Linked DNA regions of Callithrix jacchus. The protein of the gene in region 1 interacts with the protein of each later gene in a biochemical or structural test. Links are inferred from orthologs where the notes say so. Each region holds a gene or a part of one and is shown in the gene's direction. Other genes may lie near its edges.

Evidence for each region.
Region 2: the proteins of SIAH1 (region 1) and SNCA form a complex in vitro, tested with the Homo sapiens proteins (3 studies listed by BioGRID, with this or other methods). The link is inferred for Callithrix jacchus from reciprocal best matches to the Homo sapiens genes SIAH1 and SNCA.
Region 3: the proteins of SIAH1 (region 1) and POU2AF1 form a complex in vitro, tested with the Homo sapiens proteins (2 studies listed by BioGRID). The link is inferred for Callithrix jacchus from reciprocal best matches to the Homo sapiens genes SIAH1 and POU2AF1.
Region 4: the proteins of SIAH1 (region 1) and SNCAIP form a complex in vitro, tested with the Homo sapiens proteins (2 studies listed by BioGRID, with this or other methods). The link is inferred for Callithrix jacchus from reciprocal best matches to the Homo sapiens genes SIAH1 and SNCAIP.
Region 5: of the proteins of SIAH1 (region 1) and HIPK2, one has a biochemical effect on the other in vitro, tested with the Homo sapiens proteins (4 studies listed by BioGRID, with this or other methods). The link is inferred for Callithrix jacchus from reciprocal best matches to the Homo sapiens genes SIAH1 and HIPK2.

What each region holds. Positions count from the first base shown.
Region 1 is NC_133521.1:6,077,583-6,081,555, reverse strand, and holds the start of SIAH1 (E3 ubiquitin-protein ligase SIAH1), read left to right. Parts: upstream 1-1,162; 5' UTR 1,163-1,624; coding exon of another isoform or gene 1,625-1,715; 5' UTR 1,716-1,795; coding exon of another isoform or gene 1,796-1,826; 5' UTR 1,827-1,894; coding exon 1,895-2,075; intron 2,076-3,973. UniProt on the Homo sapiens protein: E3 ubiquitin-protein ligase that mediates ubiquitination and subsequent proteasomal degradation of target proteins.
Region 2 is NC_133504.1:107,752,590-107,756,103, forward strand, and holds part of SNCA (alpha-synuclein), read left to right. Parts: intron 1-1,471; coding exon 1,472-1,614; intron 1,615-3,514. UniProt on the Homo sapiens protein: Neuronal protein that plays several roles in synaptic activity such as regulation of synaptic vesicle trafficking and subsequent neurotransmitter release.
Region 3 is NC_133511.1:11,074,370-11,078,409, reverse strand, and holds the start of POU2AF1 (POU domain class 2-associating factor 1), read left to right. Parts: upstream 1-1,237; 5' UTR 1,238-1,335; coding exon 1,336-1,351; intron 1,352-4,040. UniProt on the Homo sapiens protein: Transcriptional coactivator that specifically associates with either POU2F1/OCT1 or POU2F2/OCT2. It boosts the POU2F1/OCT1 mediated promoter activity and to a lesser extent, that of POU2F2/OCT2. It recognizes the POU domains of POU2F1/OCT1 and POU2F2/OCT2.
Region 4 is NC_133503.1:86,899,114-86,902,627, reverse strand, and holds part of SNCAIP (synphilin-1), read left to right. Parts: intron 1-2,557; coding exon 2,558-3,423; intron 3,424-3,514. UniProt on the Homo sapiens protein: Isoform 2 inhibits the ubiquitin ligase activity of SIAH1 and inhibits proteasomal degradation of target proteins. Isoform 2 inhibits autoubiquitination and proteasomal degradation of SIAH1, and thereby increases cellular levels of SIAH.
Region 5 is NC_133512.1:107,576,288-107,580,524, forward strand, and holds the start of HIPK2 (homeodomain-interacting protein kinase 2), read left to right. Parts: upstream 1-1,437; 5' UTR 1,438-1,785; coding exon of another isoform or gene 1,786-1,810; coding exon 1,811-1,829; intron 1,830-4,237.

The sequences.
Region 1 (3,973 bases):
AAATATAAAGAAAATTAGCCGAAGACGGTGGTGCCTAGTGATTGGGGAGATTCAGGTGGGAGGGGATTGCTTGAGCCCAAAAGACCGAGGCTGCAGTGAGTGGAGATTGTGCCACTGCACTCAGACCTGGGCAAGAGTGAGACCCTGTCTCAAAAACAACAACAACAAAACAAAAAACTTGTCTGTGGGGTAGACTGTATTTATTTTCAATCATATTTCTTTTCCTAATACTCTTTTGTGTAGCCTATATTGTAAAATGAGGTTGAGGTGATTGAACACACTGTTAATAGAGTGAGGAAGTGGTTAGAGTTAAAATTTCTTGCTGAAAGTGGGTAATCTGCAATTCCCTACATTGGGTTGATTCCTCTCTGCCAGCTCTTGCTGCATTTAGAGGCTGCCCTAAGCATGATGTAATGACAGGTTAAACCTCTGCACGCACTAGCTGATGCAATGCAAATCTGAGGCCCAGGACTTTATTGGGGCAAGGGTAATGCTTGTTTAAAAACAAAACAAGCTACTCTGCGTTTAATGAGGCCATTTAAGATGGCTTTCCCAGAGTGGGAAGAGAGTATACTCTCTTAGGAGGTTTAAGTAGGAGTTTAATGTGGCAGAAGTATGCTTACTACTTTTCCTGCAAAGTGTTTTCGCAGCGGGGAAGGGGAATTTAAAATACATTACCGATAGGAGAAGTGAAGTGAGCTAGAATTGAGGAAATTAGTAGTTGATGCCAGTAAATAGCTGTTGAATGAATTAGGGAGAATGTTTTCACTCCAAAATTTTAGAGTTCGGATAAACGTAGAGCGGAGCGCCAGTGTGGCCACGCATTTCAAGATACGCTGTAGCTCTTAGATTGAAACCGTAAGAAACTCCTGATATGAGACTGTTCTGACACACCGAAAACGGCATGGTTCCACCTAACTTTAAACTGGTGGAAATGCTGAGGAAGGCTCGATGTCGCTGGGGTGCGGTGGTATGCGGTCCATGGCGGGGTGGGGTCCATGGCGGGGTGGCACGGGGTCAGAGCTGCGGGGTCCCGCGGCCCCGCCCTGGGTTGTGGGGCGGGGCTTGCGGGCACGGCCCCACCTCTGCGCGAGCGAGACGGGCACCGCCCTGCACGCTGCGCGCCCTGGACTGGCCCTTGGCTCTCCTGGTTGGAGCGGGCGTTCCCGGCGCAGGCCCATCCCCAGCTGGCCGAGGCTCCAAATGGCTCTCCCGGCAGGCGGGCTCCTGCAGTAGCCCCTGAGCTGGCTCAGGGAGCGTACTTCCTTCTCAGCCAGCGGGTCACCCCTCCACCAGAGCCGAGCAGGAGCCTACCCAGTGAATCTGGAGAAGACAAACTTGGGAGACAGACGAAGGCTTAGGGCATGGTGGAGGACAGCGCAGCTGTGGCTCCCATTTTCGGAGATGCAGCCGAATTTGAGCTCACGGGGAGGTGTGGTTGCCTCCTGGGGATGGAAAGGCTTTCTTTCTCCACCTCTGTAACTGGTGCTTCTGAGAAGTGAAACGATATTTGGATCCTGACCTCAGACGCCAATTTGGGTCTTTTGTGTTTAGGAGCAGAAAGTGCCCAGGAGGGTCCTGTACCTTTACTTCTTGGAAAAGGCAGTGAGCTGCCTGAGTTCTCATGACGGGAAAGCCTATTCCACCTTCTCTTTACTCCTGGAGGGGAGTCTTGTTCACATGTTTACCGGCGACTAGGACAAGGAAGAGAAAAGGTATTGACATTAACAGGATGGGTTGCTGAGGCTGTGAAACTTGAACGCTGTTAGTCAGTGGAACCTGCCTGGCTTACGGAATGGCTGCAGCAGAATCGAGCTGTTTCCTAGGTTAGCAGTCATGTTTCATTTGGGCTGTTGTGCTTTTTTTCTGTTTAAATCAAACTTCAGGTTACGTCATGACTTCTGCAGGGCTGTCCTTGGTTCCTACTGCAGGGCGGCTGTGTGGTTGGGATTCCTTTTCTGTTTCAAGATGGAGCTGGGTAGCACCTTTGGAGCTTGGAGAGGCTTTAGCAGTTGCTGTCCTGTATACCTCCATTTACAAGAAATCCTGTTCCCATTTCGGTTTTCACACTTTGAGTAAGAGTTAAAATCTGCTTTATTACAGTGTTTGGAAAATGATAAAGATATATTGTAATGTGAGCCTGAACTGTTGATGATAAATGTATAACTACTGCTAGGTCAAGAAATTGAAAAATAATGTTTTGATTGGTCTGTAGCTGTGTTGTGTTAAATATAAACTGAGTTTACTGCCCTTGGATGTGATTCTCTGGTTTGGTTTGGTAATTTGAAAGGTATTGGTTGCCTAGACTGTTTTGTGCCCAAGGAAACACTTTCTAATTGTTATGCTGTTAATTCAGTAAGCAGCATAAACTGGACCATGCAGTAGGCATACAGCATACAGCCAGGATGTTTTGGCAATGCTGAGCCCACTGTTTTACAAGTGACATAAAATGTATGGATCATCGTATGTACAAAGAATCCACTCAGGGAAACCGGATTACAGGAGAGTTCCTTTACAGTCCTTTTGTCAGGGTACAGAACACCTGGGTTACACAGGGCTTCAGATGAGAGTTGATTCATGATCTGAGTCTATATGATGAGACACATTATGATGGAATTGTCACTTTTGTTGCCTCTTGAACTTTAAAATATATCTTTAGTGATGTGGAATTAATCTTTATTTTTCCTTCACCCTCAGCCTTCATTTAAGGTATCAGTTGGTAACCACCTGAGTAATCTAGAACCCAAGTTGCATTTACTTGGTCATATTGGTAACTAACATTGTTTCTCAAAAGTTTCTTGCAACAGAATAATGACTATAATTGAGATAAAACATTAACTTTAAGGCTTTAACTTTGTAAGAATATGGCTTAGTATAGTTACTAGGAGTGTATTCTTAGGACATCGACCGATCTATTTTTTCACCCCCAAGACAAATAGTGGCCTCCTATATCCCAGCCCAGGGAGCTCTTTGGGATGAGTTACTTGTTTTATCTTTGACTCAGCCTGACTAGTTACATTGTCGATCATTTCTTCCAGATGACATTTATCTGTCAAATAATGTTGATTAGTCTGCTGATGAATGTTTAAACAACGCTGGAGAACCCTAGGCTAAGGGGTTCTACACCTGTTGACTCCATCCCCCACTCCCAGTGTGGTGTGTCTCTGCCGTGCTATCTGTATTCTTCCCCTGTTCAGTTTCTCCCTGACTCTCCTTCTTTGTTCATTATGTCTGATTTATATTGTGGATTGCAAATAGAGAAAGATATGCTTTCTCTACGACACCAAAAAGTTTTATTTGAGATGGCTCTCCATTTCTCCCACGTCTCCCTTCACTTTTGCTGTGTTTTTATTTATTTTTATATTTTTGCTACCTTCACTAGAGAGTACATCCCCTCACTCTTGAGGTGGGCACTGATCAGTAGGAAAGAAGATCAATACCTGGCTGATGATAATTTGGGGGGCAGATTGATAGATAAAGGGGATGGCAGCAGATCTTTCCCCTTGTGATCCCTCCCCTCATTCCTAAATTACACCTCTAGAGTAGGTAACTGCTCACCATTAAGAAGAGTTAATGGAAGGCATTTGAACTACACTCATCCCGTGGTATCCTCGGAAGATTAGTTCCAGGATCCCCTTCCCCATACCAAAACCTGAGGATGTTCAAGTCTCTGATAGAACATGTTATCATATTTGTATATAACCTGTGCATATTCTCCTGTATAATTTATCTCTGGATTACTTACACTTAATACAATGTAAATAATAGGTAAATAGTTGTTATATATGTTTTATTTTAAAAATTTTGTATTATTTTAAAATTTTTCTGAATATTTTCAATCCATGGCTGGTAAATAGTTATATATGTTTTATTTTAAAAATTTTGTATTATTTTAAAATTTTTCTGAATGTTTTCAATCCATGGCTGGTGAAGTCCTCAGATGCAGATTCTGTGGTTACAGAGTGCCGATTTT
Region 2 (3,514 bases), on another chromosome or scaffold:
ACCTTTAGCTTCTATGACATACATAATGTATTTGAAAACAAATTGCTTTGCCCACACCATTTAACTATGGGCTTCTTCAACTGGAGAGATGAAAGCTATACAGTAATCATGTGAATAGCACTAAACAGCTGACATGGTGTAACTCCTCTCAGACTGTGGCTTATCTGGGGAGTACAAAGCATATCAAGAAAATGTGCCTTCATTTTTTTAGACGAGCACCTAAGGAAGAATATAACTAACCTGTCCCCATCCTCCACTTGCCTCCACTGTTATACTCTTTGCTTCTATGATATCAACTCTTTTTTTTCTTTAGATTCCACATAAGTGGGATCATGTGGTGTTTGCCTTTCTGTTTCTGGCTGATTTCACTGAACAAGAGAATTTTTGACATGACATTAAATTTCCGCTTATAAACCCAATTCAAATTATTTACATTGTCTTCTAAAACATTAACTTTCTAAAATAAATCTACTGAATGACCATATCACATTTTCTTTAATGAAAAGAAATTGTTAGGGTGCTCAATTGCCTCTTCATTTTCATACTGTCTAGCTCCTTTGCGCCTATCAAAATAACTGCAAATTTTGCTTTTTAAGAACACTTCTGTTTCACTACCTGAAGTTCTATAAAAAGATCCAAGTTCCTTCACAGCCATCTCTTATACTATTAATCATATATATGTGATAATACCGTGTCTGAACACATTGATAAGTATGGGCTGGGCGCAGTGGGTCATGCCTGTAAAGGAGGCTGAGGCGGGTGGATCACCTGAGGTCAGAAGTTTGAGATCTGCCTGACCAACATGGTGAAATGCTGTATCTACTAAAAATAAAAATATTTTTAAAAATTAGCCAAATGTGGTGGAGGGCACCTGTAATCCCAGCTACTCAGGAGGCTGAGGCAGGAGAATTGCTTGAACTTGAAAGGCGGAGGTTGCAGTGAGCCAAGATTATGTCATTGCACTCCAGCCTGGGCAACAAGAGTGAAACTTCGTCTCAAAAAAATAATAATAAAATAAAAAAGCTCAGAAGTATGTACTGTGTTGCTAAGAAGGTGTGATGGAAATAAACTTGCTGTGTGAGATCAAAGGACTGACACTGAATTGAAATAATGAAGTATTCATACTGAGTCTGGTTCAACTATAACTGCACCTGTAAGCGTTGCTTTCTCTAAACTTTCCTTAGGATAAAGCAAATCCAAATCACTCATGGCTTTACATTCCTGATCATTAAACTTGAAGCACTTTTAATACTGCATGATTATAGCAAAAACATCTTAGCCAAGATTCAGTGTTTGTTTGAACCACACTGACTTGGAAATCTTGGTTACTGTGTTTCTTCTGACCCCTCAGTTGTCTTTGGCATGTGTAAATACAGGTGTATAGAAGTTGATGGCTAGTGGAAGTGGAATGATTTTAAGTCAGTGTTACTCTACCACCCTTTAATCTGTTGTTGTTCTTGATTTGTACCAGTGGCTGAGAAGACCAAAGAGCAAGTGACAAATGTTGGAGGAGCAGTGGTGACGGGTGTGACAGCAGTAGCCCAGAAGACAGTGGAGGGAGCAGGGAACATTGCAGCAGCCACTGGCTTTGTCAAAAAGGACCACTTGGGCAAGGTATGGCTGTGTACACTTTGTGTTACATTTACAAGCTGGTGAGATCATGGTTCATTTTCATGTGAGGCCTGGAGGCGGGAGCAAGATGCTTACTGTGGGAAATGGCTACCTGACCCTCCCGTTGTGAAAAAGTGCTACCTTTATATAGGTCTTGTTTTCTTCAGGCATTAACCCAGATAAACGCCATGCAAATGGTACAATTATCATGATTTTTTCAATTTCTGGAAGAAAGCTAATGAAACAAACAATTTATTAAAATGCCAAAGGAACAGTGTGACATTTCAGAAAGAATGAGTGCTTTCATGTTAACTATAAGTCTTGAAATTTCTCTTCATTGGAATAACAAATCTCTTTGTGCCTAATTTCTTAATTTCCAAAATAGAGTTCTTTTACTTGATTTCTTTATAGTGACATCATCTCTTATTAAATGGCATATTTGCATATTACTTAACAGTTCATTACCAAATACATGTTTGTGGGAACTGAGAGACTTAAAACACATACCAATCAGAGATCATACTTTTGAGGTAAGTTTTAAAATTCTGAGAAGAATTTTGACTGAATTTTTTTTGACAAATATAGGACACAAATAAGATTTTACCAAAGATATTATAACTTTCATTTTAAATATGGAACTAATACAATATGAGGTTCCATATTTAAAATGGAACTAGCTCTAACCTATGTAAAATTGGTGTCCTCCTCACCTCTGGTGTGCCCAGTCTCCCTAGTCCCTTTCTTTTCTTTTCTTTTCTTTTCTTTTCTTTTCTTTTCTTTTCTTTCTTTCTTTCTTTCTTTCTTTCTTTCTTTCTTTCTTTCTTTCTTTCTTTCCTTCCTTCCTTCCTTCTCCTTCCTTCCTTCCTTCCTTCCTTCCTTCCTTCCTTCCTTCCTTCCCTCCCTCCCTCCCTCCCTCCCTCCTTCCCTCCTTCCCTCCTTCCCTCCTTCCCTCCTTCCCTCCTTCCCTCCTTCCCTCCTTCCCTCCTTCCCTCCTTCCCTCCTTCCCTCCTTCCCTCCTTCCCTCCTTCCCTCCTTCCCTCCTTCCCTCCTTCCTTCCTTCCTTCCTTCCTTCCTTCCTTCCTTCCTTCCTTCCTTCCTTCCTTCTGGTGTGCCCAGTCTCCCTAGTCTTTTTCTTTCCTTCCTTCCTTCCTTCCTTCCTTCCTTCCTTCCTTCCTTGCCAAAGTGTTCATCACCTTTAAATACAATAAATAATATGCTTACTTTAATGTATGTTGTTTATTTTATTTTTCCCTTCTAGAATGTAGGCACCATGAGAGTGAAATATATTTACATTTTTTACTGATAGTTCACAAGTGTCTAGGAGAGTTTCCAACTTGTACTAGACAATTTACAAACATTTATTAAATTAGGGAAGGAAGGAAGGAGATAAGTGAGTAAGCAGAATGACTTTTATTTCTGCGTCTTTTATAATCGTATGCTTAGTATAAGAACAGTGCTATTCAGCCATCCACTAGTTCCAACCAAAATGATTTTGGATGAATATCTTGAAAATTGTGAGAAAGAAGTTTTATTTGCTGGCAAACTATTCTGAGTTGTTTCCACTTCATGTAATCCTAGGTAGCAGTCTTACCTTGATAGCCCATTAAAGCACTTATAATAAAAAGGCAGAACAAAAATATCTGTGATATATTTAAATTTAGTACATGTAGTTACATGTCTATTGTCTGGTGTGATGAATGCTAATTATGGCAAATCCTGACTGGGCTTCTAGTGAAGTTCTTCAGCCAATGCTTGAATGCATTGTTGGTCATGATGGTACCCCTTTGTACAAAATATGCTTTTCAAATGATCTTATTAGGGATAATAATTTTAGTCCTGGTTTTCATCTAAAATTATAATTCTATTTATAGCTTTGTAAGATTTCACAAGGTAAGAGGGACCT
Region 3 (4,040 bases), on another chromosome or scaffold:
GCTAAGGGGTTTGTCCTCCCAGCAAGAGAGACGACAAGGTCGAAGGAGGGAATTGCATGGGTGTTCGGTGGTGCTCAGAGGGCACTGGGACCAGTGTTTGGAGGGCAGTGGGTGGTGAGGCTGGAAAGGAAGGCAAGGGCTCGATAGTGGGAGTCCTTCGAGGCCCCAGCTCTGTGGCTGAAGGGAGGTGAATGCTTTGTAGGCTGGAGGATAGCATGATCAGGTCTAGGTGGTGCAAGATGGCTCTGAGACACTATGGACTGCAGAACAGCAAGGCCTCACACCTGCTCGAGGGGTGGTAACCAAGGGGTCTTGACCCCAAACTGGCTGAGTCCCTGGAGCCTGAGCATGTGGACCTCAGGTATGCAGTGGCAGAAGACTTCCGAACTGGGAAGGAGCTGGTCACCAACACCCTCTACACTTCCAGGGGGTGAACTCATGACTTTTACTTCAAGAAGCTTCCTGTTACCAGTGGGTGGGCACCCGCAGAGAGGCCCTGTTCATCCTGTGACTACAAGCCCAGCTCCAGTCAAAAAGCACGGGCACAGTCTCCTTTCTTCCCTGAGAGGGTTGGCCGCTTTCTTCGTGGGCATAGCCGCCATCAAAACCAGCGCCCCCATATTTCAGCATGATTAAGCTTTGCCATTTTGGGGGTGGCTGGGGGCGAGGGGAGGGGCTATTGTGTTTCAAAATGGAATAAACAGAAAAGCAATATTAAAAGAATGAGAAGGTTGTTTACTGAGGCTTGAAGAGATGAGATGACAGGTGTTTCCTCCGTGTCGAGAACCAGTGACCCCTGGGAATCGCATTTCCCGCACAGCAGGCACCCATGGCGGGCTGAGTCCTACCCCATGCCCTGGTGGCTTGGAAGCCTGCACGGGCGCTATGCAAAGCCCAACGTTTTCCAGAGGGGCTTTTGGGCTCATCACTGGCCTGGGGAGGGCTAGACGTGGGGTCCCCACAGCTCGCCCCACACCACGTTCACACCCACACCCAGCAGGTCCCCGTGGGGCCGGGGCAGGCTGTGGCCGCCCGCGCTGCGCTGTTGCTCTGTCCCAGCTGGCTGGCTCCTGGTGGGGAGCACTCTGGGCCCGGGCGGCTGGGGCGCGCGCAGTGGGGTGACCCGAGGCCTGGTTGCAGAAACGTTGCACCCGTGCCTGAGGTGGGAGGACGTGATGACGCGCCCCACGCAGCGGGAACCCAGGCCTTTAAAAAGCCCAGGAAACAGCCTCAGCACAAGCGGTGGCTCCACTGGAGGAAAGCACACCCCGGTCTCACGTTCAAGAAGCCAGACTGTCGGCTTCAAAGAGAAAAGGCAACATCCTGTCACAGGCCATGCTCTGGCAAAAACGTAAGTGGTTCGGCGGTGGCTGTCAGAGCCAAGCGAGGGCCACGGGGCCGGGTGATCACAGCTCGGCCTGGAACTGGGGAGCTGCTGGTGGAGGGGATGGGACCCCCGGGCCTGGGTTCCAAGGCCGGGAGTGAGATGCGGGGGAGGTGGGCGGCATGGAGCCTGGTGGAGAAACCAGCCTGTCAGAGGTGATGCTGATTTTCCAGGCTGGAGGGGAACGAACTAGTGTTCCAAGGTGGGACGGGCCCGGGGTACCTCGCTCCTGTGCATGAATCACTGCGGTGAAGACAGGGCGGTTTGTGATTCACACAACAAAAGCCAGATGTGGGGTGGGCTTGGGGCTGGGAGGAAAAGCCATGCAGTTCTTCACAGGAGGGGCTTTATTTCCAGAAGCCGCGGCTCTTCAGCCTGCTGTGGAATCCCCTGGGCCTGTTTCCAGCCGAGTGACTTGGCTTTCTGCCAGGGCATGACTTGTTCGTGTGGATACCCGTGGAGGAGTGGAGACCTTTTTTTTTTTTCACTCGCTCCACTGTCTTGCCTTTTGCCACTCCTTTTCCCCTTCTGTGGCAAGGCCTGTCTATCCCACTGCAAAGGGAGCAGTGGGTTTATCTTTGGCCTTGATTTTTCTCCCTGGAGTTGCACGGGACAACTGTGATCTTTATTTTCCTTTATGTGGACCAAAAAGCAACTTGCCTTACTCATAACTGAAATCATACAGATTAGTTACAACATTCTTTTCATGAGGTAAACAAAGTCAACATTAGCCTCTGAGAGTCAAACCTTATTGGGGCTTAGATCTATATTTCCTCAAGCAAGAAGAATGACCAAAAATTGCTCTTTTTCTTAAAGATTCTTAGTTCATTAAAACGCCTTTTAATTAATTTAAGTACGCTCTGTGTCAAGCAAGCTTAATATAAAAGAATCTAGATTTACAGAAAAAGATAAGTTAGGGAGTGTTTCTTTTTATGGAGAGATACTCGATTAGATCCATTAAAGTTCTGAAAATATAACTTCACTGTTTAAAATGTGACACTGTCACCTTATCACCAATTTATCGTTTGGTTTATGCCTTATGTACATTCTCTGGAATTCAGCTGGTTAACAAGTAATACAGAAGAGTGATTTCAAAATTTCTCAGCTTGTGAAGCCCCACCATTATTTGATATCAGTAAGATGCATTTTTTTTTTAAAATAAAGAGAAATGAACTTTAATTTGGGTTTGAGAGTTATGAGCTCCTCCCAAGATAACTAGGAATATTCCAGAATGGTTGGCATGCAACTCCTGCCAGCAAGCGATGGAGCAGCGACAGCCTATCCTTCCCGGGACAGTGGCAGCTGACCCTGCTGTGAGTGCTCTGTGGATGAGGGCAGGTGGGCCTTCATCTCTTTGCTAGGGGCTTCTAAGCATCTGTGTGCTTTTTCGCTGAGGGCTGAATTGTTTGATGTTTGTGTGAGCCCCTGGAGGGAGTTTTGCCTTGGTGCCTACCTTCTATAAGCAAGTCACTTTCCTTTTTCTCAATCCTTAGGTTTTTCCTATGTAAAGTGGGGGTAAAAAATCATACCCATTCTGAGGATGTACCCTTAGTAAGTGAGGTGCCACTGAAGTCACATTCAGTGGCACCTCACACTCTGTCTGTGTCAGCCTCTGAGATGTGAGTTGCTTCCCTGCATATACAATCTGCCATATTTTCCCCCCTTGGTTCCGTACTCAATTTTTTCATTTCTAATTCCTTCTAAGAGATGAACAGATTTTTTTTTGAGACAGACGCTTGCTCTGTTGCTGAGACTGGAGTGCAGTGGCGTGATCTCGGCTCACTGCAACCTCTGCCTCCCAGGTTCAAGTGATTCTTTCACCTCAGCCTCCCAAGTAGCTGGAACTATAGGTGCCTGCCACCACACCCAGCTAATTTTTTTTTTGGTATTTTTAGTAGACATAGTGTTTGCTATGTTGTCTAGGCTGGTCTCGAACTCCTGGACTCAAGTGATACACCAGCTTCTGCCTCCCAAAGTGCTGGGATTACATGTATGAGTCACTGCACCCGGCCCCAGGTTTTTTTTAAAGGGGATGCTGGAGGGCATGCTTCCTGCTCACACCCTGGAGACCAGTCAGGTAGAGAAAAACTCCATTGTAAGGGAGACCACATTGTAAGCTCATCAGTGGAATAATTGGGGTGAATGTTTCCACATGTTCAGATGAACACAAATCAAAGTTACCTTGAATTGTCCTTTAAGCCTTAAAGGAAAGTAGTGTAGAGGCCCTGGGCTCTAGACCCATCCCCTTAACCCGAACCCAAGTATGTGGTATAGAGAGCACCTGGGTGACTAAACCCTGTGGGAAAATCAGTAAAAACAGGGCAGCATTGTCAGCCCACTTACAAACACCCGATGGAAGGGCAGGGTTTGAAATCAGACACCAAGAGTGCTGAAAGGGCACTTTCTTTTTTCAGAAAACATCCTCGAGGCATGAGCTGAAATGACTGTACTATGGGGTTCTGGAAAGGGTTAAGAAAACATTCACTTTGTGAAGGTTGCCTCCTCCCTACCTAGCCCATGACCCTCGTTTGTGGACTAAATGTGAACATGAGCTTTTGGTTAAGATGAGAGAATGACACGACAAAGCCCAGAACTGCTGGCACGGAGAAGTGGAAATCTTCAAGCCTCAACCAATGGATTTGAAATTTGCCTGAGG
Region 4 (3,514 bases), on another chromosome or scaffold:
TATCACTTGGAAAAAATTTCACATGTAAATAAAGCCAACATAAAAGAGTAGCCCTTTGAACCTACGACCTCATATAATACATAAATATATTGGTACAATGCATTCTTTGTATTGACCTACTAAGTTATGTGGCTTTAAAATTTTTTATTACATTCTGAGATGCCCATTTTCTAGAGGTTCCAAAGAAATCAAGGTAATCGGCAAAATATTAGCAAATATACCCAATAATAACAGTGTATCTCAGAAATGTCTATGAGTAAAATTTTTTCCCATTTTATTTAAAGATATGCAGAAAGTTGATGAATAAAATTAAAGGCATATTTACATCTTATAAACTCTATGTCCACTATCTCCTGCTGTTTTAATTAAATAAGTAACCATGTGTTCTTGAAAAGAGAAAGACTTGGCAGAATTTTCTGGCAGACATTAATTTTTCATGGCTTTATATTTTTAGAGAGAAAAGGTCATGTAAGAGATAGAAAACTTTTAAATTTATAAGAGACCAACTGGAATTAGTCTTTGCCTTTGCATATTTACATTTCATAAATAACTTTAGCAAATTGGGCTCTTACTGGTGATTATCACTCTGCTGAGTTTATTAACAGGGTTTTGTCCCCTGTGAAATTCAACTGTAAATCCCGCAGAAGGATGCACTTTGTGCATTTTAGAAGATTTAACGTGTTGTGCAAAGTGAGATTCAAATTCACATACTGGCATTTGTTAATTGTCTGATCTGTGCCAACCACTGTGTACAACAAGGAACTAGAGCCAACAAAAGGGAAGAAAAGCAACAGCCTAAGACCATCTAGATACCTTCCTTCCCCTCTGGAACATTCTCTTCCACATTACTTATTGGAGAGACTCCAGCCCTCCTTCCACAGCTTATCATAGTATTCTCTTCTTAGATTCTAAAATGCCAGGGCCAGAAAGGTCTGAGAAGTGGACTACGTAGTGCAGACCCTCTGAAACCTCATGCAAAATTGTGGTTGATTTAAGGAAAAGAACTCACTGATAGTTATATAGCATTCAGGCTCAGAGCACTCACTGTCATCCCCTTAGCTTGGTTCCAGAACTTCTCTGAATCCTTTTAGAACATATCCCAGCAGGAAAAAGAATGGCCAGTAGCTTAAATTTAGAGAACTTTAATGATGTATGTTCCACTTTCACCCCAAGAATCAGTCAAAGCCAGGGGCTATTGCAGAAGTTACAGACATGAGTATCCACCCATCTCATGTTCTTTTTTCCTTTGGTTGTGCCCGGTAGTGAAGAACACACACATACACATGCTTTTGGGATAAATCCTTCCCACTTGTTTTTCAGAAGAGAAGGGGTAGATGGAAGGTCCCTAGTTGAAGGGCATGCCCTGAAATCTCATCCTTTGATGAAGGATGATAGGAACTACATGGCAGGGAACTAGGAACCCATCAGTCAGTGGCCTGCACATTTCCAAGGGTGTGGGGTCATCTTTAACCTAGCAGGGGAGTGTCCCAGGGAGGAAACAGCATCATCATGGCTGAGGAGACTGTTGCTGCTCCATCTGCTTGCCCCAAGAGGAGGCACCAGGCAGCCTCTCATGCAGGGGTTAGTAGGAGAGATGGTTCTTCTTATCTTTCACCTCCAGGTGTTTCTGGCTATTTCACTTTCTACTCTATCGCAACCAGACACTTATCAAATGCAAACCAACACACTATCTTTTTCTAAATTTTGCACAGAAATTAGAAAACACTCTGCCTAACCCATTTTCTTTTCACAACTTTCTTCTCCTGTTTACTTCCAGCCTTCTCAACAATAAAAGGCAGTATGAATCTTAAAGAACATGTTCTGTTGTGAAGTCTTAGTACATTCTGTCACTGTGTCATATGTCAGAAAGCACCATGAAATGCTGCTGCATGACAGTTGACTAGGATCCTTTGACCAAGGTGGGCTTAACTCAACTATGTCTTGTCTGCCACAGTCTGTCAACTCCTGACCACTGCATTTCTTCCTAATCTTTCCATAATCCTCTTAGTGGTACACCTAAGGAGTCACTCAGGAGGTCATAGTTTGAATTTACTCAGTATTAAATAATTTGCCACTTCTTTACATGGAACTTCTTAAGCATTAAGGGTATATGTGGACATGCATGCTAATGTGTGTGCATGTGTGCACACATCCCTTTTCTCCCTAAATTAGTTTGGAAGTTTATTTAACACTGAAGATCTTATTTGGTAATCTTGTTTTTCAGGATGGTGACAAATATATAAATATTGCCAGGGAGGTAGATCTATGCAGGGAATAAACCTAAATACCTATCTGAGTTTGCTTCCCTGGCTGTTTGCTTTTACCATTATTACTACTTTAATTAATTTTGAGCCAGTATGTTATAACTTTCTTTTATCATTCACTGTTTTCCAGTGGTAAGTATGAATTTTTTATTCTATGGACATGCACTCTAAGTCATTCTCATATACAGAGCCTTAATTTGAACATAACTTGAATGAATCACATCTACCTAAATAGCCAAGATGTGTTCAGTATTCCAAATTAATAGTCTCCTATTTTAATTTTTAAAAAACAGTTTCTAGCTCTAGCTGGAATTGCGGCATCTCAACTCTTATTACAAACACACAGAAGCCCACAGGAATCGCTGATGTGTACAGTAAGTTCCGCCCAGTGAAGCGTGTTTCACCACTGAAACATCAGCCAGAGACTCTGGAAAACAATGAAAGTGATGACCAAAAGAACCAGAAAGTGGTTGAGTACCAGAAAGGGGGTGAGTCTGACCTGGGCCACCAGCCCGAGGATCTCAGCCCTGGAGATGGACTGGGCGGCCCACCAGGTAAGAACTCTGAGCCCAGCACACCACTGGGTGAACTGGAGCACTATGACCTTGACATGGATGAGATTCTGGATGTGCCTTATATTAAATCCAGTCAGCAGCTTGCCTCTTTTACCAAGGTAACTTCAGAAAAAAGAATTTTGGGCTTATGCACAAGCATCAATGGCCTTTCTGGCAAAGTCTGCTCTACAGGAAGTTCTGAGAACTCACCATCCAACATGGCACCATTTTGTGTTCTTTCTCCCTTGAAAAGCCCTCACTTGAGAAAAGCATCAGCTGTCATCCGCGATCAGCACAAGCTGTCCACTGAAGAACCCGAGATCTCACCTCCTCTGGTTAAATGTGGCTCTGCATATGAAAACCAGAGTAAAGACTTCCTAAACAAGACATTTAGTGATTCTCATGGTCGAAAAGTTGAGAAGACAACACCAGACTGCCAGCTCAGGGCCTTCCACTTGCAATCCTCAGCAGCAGAATCCAAACAAGAAGAGCAGGTCAGTAGCATGAACTGGCCCAGCTCCCAAAGCCCAGAAGAAAGAAGTGAGTATCTGAAAAAAGTAAAAAGCATCTTGAGCATTGTTAAAGAAGGACAGATCTCTCTCCTGGTAAGTATAATCTAGTTCAGTATACATGTCAATAGACTAGAGACTCGTTTTTTATCAGCTGCATTCATTAGTAACAGAATGATGCTGCATT
Region 5 (4,237 bases), on another chromosome or scaffold:
TGGCATTAGGTTGAGAGAAGTGGTAGGAAGTGTAGCATTGATTGTGGGGGGCAAGGAAGACGGCGGAGTCCAAGATCACACAGAGGAAGGGGCTGTGATGTGCCACTAACGAAGTGGGAAACAGCTTGCCTTTTTGGGGGGGAATAGAGGATGGAGAACGGAAAGGATATGAAGTAGTGAGAAAATCATCGGGTTGTATTTAAGAAAGTCATACAGTGTTAGAGATGATTATTTTACACCTTAAAAAGATAGCTTCTCAACTTTGTTAAACCCACGATCCACAGTTGGAAATAAAATTGACATCATGCTCCAGTACACTTGTCCAGTACCTATAATTGAAACAAAAGGTTTATGAAACAATAGTTTCCCTTACTAAGGGCAGTGGATTCTAATATTTTCTATTGGATTCAATTTCATTCTTTTTTAAAGCCGGTTGCCGTCCGCTGCATTTATTTTATGATTTATTAATGTGTCACGACCCACAGTTTTAAAAACAGCTTAAGAGGAGACTCAACAAGTCTTCCTAAGTTGGAGGGGATGGCAGGGCATCCTATCCAAGCACACGGGAGACAGCTGGAGAGGCAAACCTGTAGAGGCTCCAAGCTGGGGAGAGTTTGGAGAATGTTTAGCGGAAGCCCTGATCGGAGAGAGCGCTGAGACAAGCGAGGACCCAGACAGTTGTGAGCTCCCATTCAAGTGATGGGGTGCGGGGAGGGTGGGGCTCGGGACAGTGTAGACGCGACGAGGCGAAGATCAGGGTGTCTTGGAAGCCAGATTCCGGCAGGAACCCGGCGACCACCCCGGGGGCTGCCTTTCCGCGGCGTGCACTGCAGGGCTTGGTGCCTCTGACCTCGTGTAGCTTTCCGAAGCTCGTCCACTCACCCGCCCTCCCTGGGAGCACGGCGCGCTCCCACTCTTTCCTTCATTCATTCTACTCCTACCTCCGCGAGAACCAACGGGCTGCGAGACGGGCGAACCACTTTGCAGCCGGGGGCTCTCCTTAGGGTCGGTTCCGCTCCGGGCCAGCACGCGCGCACCCTCGCACCCTGGCACACACACGCGCGCGCGCGCACAGACACACGTGCACACACACACACACACACACACACAAAGTTCTGGGGCCCCTCTGCGGACCGGCTTGGCTGCGCTGGGCTCGGAGCCGTGTGCCTGCCCGGCCCAGGCCGCCCCCCCAGCGGCTCCCCGGGGCCCGCCCCGCGCCCCGTCCCTCCGCGCTGCGCGGCCGCCCCTCCCCGCGCGGTCCCCTCCGGCCGCCGGCGCGGCTCTGCCCTTCGGCTCGGCCTTCCCCGCCTCGCATCCGTGCCATCGGCGCTCGATTGCGCGCGGACTCCCTGTGGCTCTCCCGGCCCCGCGCCCCGCCCCCGCCCGCCGCCCCCCTCCGTTAGCAACTTTTGCGGAGCCCCCGCGCCCAGCCATGCTGAGCTGAGCCCCGCCGGCCCTGGCCGCGCGCTGCCCCCGGCTCCCGCCCCTCCGCGGACCCGCTCGGGGGCCGCGGCCGCTCGGCGCCTCGGCCTCGGCCGCTCCGCCCGCCCGGCCGCCCCGAGCCCCGAGCCCCGAGCCCCCCGCGCCGGGCCCGGGCGGCAGCGGCGGTGGCGGCGGCGGCGGCGGCGCGCCCGGCCCCCTCCCCCGGCGCCGGCCACGGGAGGCGGTGATGCGGGCGCGGGCGGCCTCGGCTGCGCCGAGAGCGGAGACACAGGCTCAAGATGGCAGATTCCGACTGAGGCTGGGGGGGCCGAGCTCGCGCGCCGCTTTCCCGTCCCCGTTGCCATGAACCGCGGACACCCCGGCCCCGATGGCCCCCGTGTACGAAGGTAAGGGGCGCCCGGCCCCGCCGACCCCTCTCCCGCCGCCCCGCCGCGGCCCCCGCAGCTTTGTTCTGCCCGCGGCCCCGCGCCCGCAGCCCCCGGCGCCCGCCCCAGCCCCCACCCGGGGCCCGAGGGGGCCGCGACCCCCTCCCGCGCCCGGAAGATGACCGGGACCCGGCGCCGGCGGGGCCGCTTCCAGGGCGGGGAGAGGGGCCGGGGGCGCGGGAAGGGAGGGGGCGTGTGCGAGGGTGGGCGGCTGCCCGGGGAGGGCAGGGGCGCCAGGGAAGGCGGACCCGTGACTGTGCTTTTTATTTATTTGCGATAAATGAAGGTGCTGCGGCTCAGCTTCCACCGCCCCCCCACGCTACCTCTCGGAGCACCTCCTTTCCACTTCGCTCTCCGCCCCGCGCCCCTTCCCATTTCTCTCCGCGCCCACCCCACGCTCCTTTATTCTCCGCGAGCCTCCGATTTTGGGGGGGGGCCGTGGAATCGGAACGCGCGGGGCTAGGTGGGGAGAGAGGAGAGGGATGAAAAGTCCATGTCAGAGCCAGGCAGAACAATGAAACAGGCGAAAATCTCCCCGCATTAGCGTGTGCAAGGGTACGTGGACTTTGGGTTTTCCAGCCGGGGAAGCCGCGGAGACGTTTTTCTGGCTCAGTCTGGGTCGACCTGTGTGGTGCACCTTCACCTGGCGTCGGGGTGTTTTCCCCCATTTGACTGCCTTTAGGAAGAAAGAAAAGAACGCGAGGCGGAGAAGCCGTGGGTCTGCCTCGCACACTCTGTTTCGTTTCTCTTCGGTCCGTTCTGTCAGCTTCCAGCCAGAAAGCAACCCAGAATCAACTAAGTTTTTACACTTCGATGTGTTTTTGTGTGCTTGTAGTAGGGGGAATTTTAAACCTGTGTGTCTGATTTTTCTGTTGTTTCATCGTGCAAATGTTTGTCTCGTGAAATCATTGAAATCGCAGCCTTCACATACTTTTAGCGTGGGTCCCCCTGGCTTTCTTTCGGTTTTGTTCGGATATTCTGTGGGGTGAAATCGCAAATGAGAGGGTACAGGGTTTATGTGTCACAGAGGAGGGCATGAGGGGGGAGTGTAATCCGCCTATAAATCCAGAGAACAGTTGTGGCCAGTGAGACAGGGAAGGCATTAATAGTTTTATCTCTGTTATAAGAGGCTGATTAAAAAAAAAAAACTTATCTGAAAAGAAAATCTGTTATTAGTTCCAGGGCTCCAAATGAATTAGATTTCTGGCCGGAATAAAGTTACCAGTCAGGCCCTGGATAACGAGGCTGTAAATAACCTATGGACTGTAAATATTTTTTTTCAGACTCTCTTAGAAACAAAGGGGCTGTTTAGAAGGCAACAGAGAGATGTTATTCCAGGGGCTTTCCTCTTTGATTCTGAAGAACACAAGGTCCATTTAACCGTTGGACAAAACAAAACGAAATTTCTGATCACTCCACCACTCAGAATAGAACATGCCGGTGGACATGTGAACATGTGGGAGAACCCATGTCGGCCATTCATTGTTCATCTGCGTCTACAGGAGGGGGCTACAGTCAATGCTCCCACTGTCTAGAGTGTTAAAATGAAACAATTTTCTCTTTATTAAGTACCTCCTTGAGACTCCCTCTGCTGGACACTCTCGGTGAGTTGAGAGAAGGAACTTGGCATTGAATTCAGAACTATAGTAGACGGCTGGTTTCCCTGTTACTAGGGACCGGGTATGTGAGTTGGGATGTATTTTGTCAACTTTATGGAAAGCCATCTTGGGAACCGCACTGTTCTTCTCCTGCCCCTTTCATTCTAAATCCATATGGAATGTAGGCGGTGCCCCGGAGGCTGAGACTTGGCCTCTCCCGGTTCCTGCTACATTGTTCCTCCAGTTCCTTAAGCCAGATAAAGAACTGCAGGTGTGTAGGGTGTTATGTTTAAGAATCCTCATGGATCTCAAAGGTCTCATGAATTGTTTTTATTTGCCAGCCTTCCTTCCCTGTCTCAGGTGACCTCCGTGGTGGCCTTTTTCAGACCTCGGTTTCCCTCCATCTTGTCCATGTGCCCTCTTCATTATTCCTGCGCTGTGCACCCTTTTATTCCGGGTGTGTCTCTGTGCACCTTTATCATTCTTTTTCTAATCTTCCTTCTCACCCCACCTCAACTAGCCCACATCACTCTGCCGAAAGCCCACGGCCGGGGGTTTTTGAAAGAGACTGTTGGATATGCTCAGAACAGACAGGTGACCTCTAGAATCAAGGATTAGATTGCTAGGACCCACATTCACTCACTGCGATGAGTGTGCCAAGACTCTGATGACCTCCTTTCTCCCGCCGTAGTGACATCCGCTGGGTTCAGGGAACCTGATTTTTCCCCTGTCTCAATCAGAGCACGTGGACTCCCTGTGGGCATGTTAAAT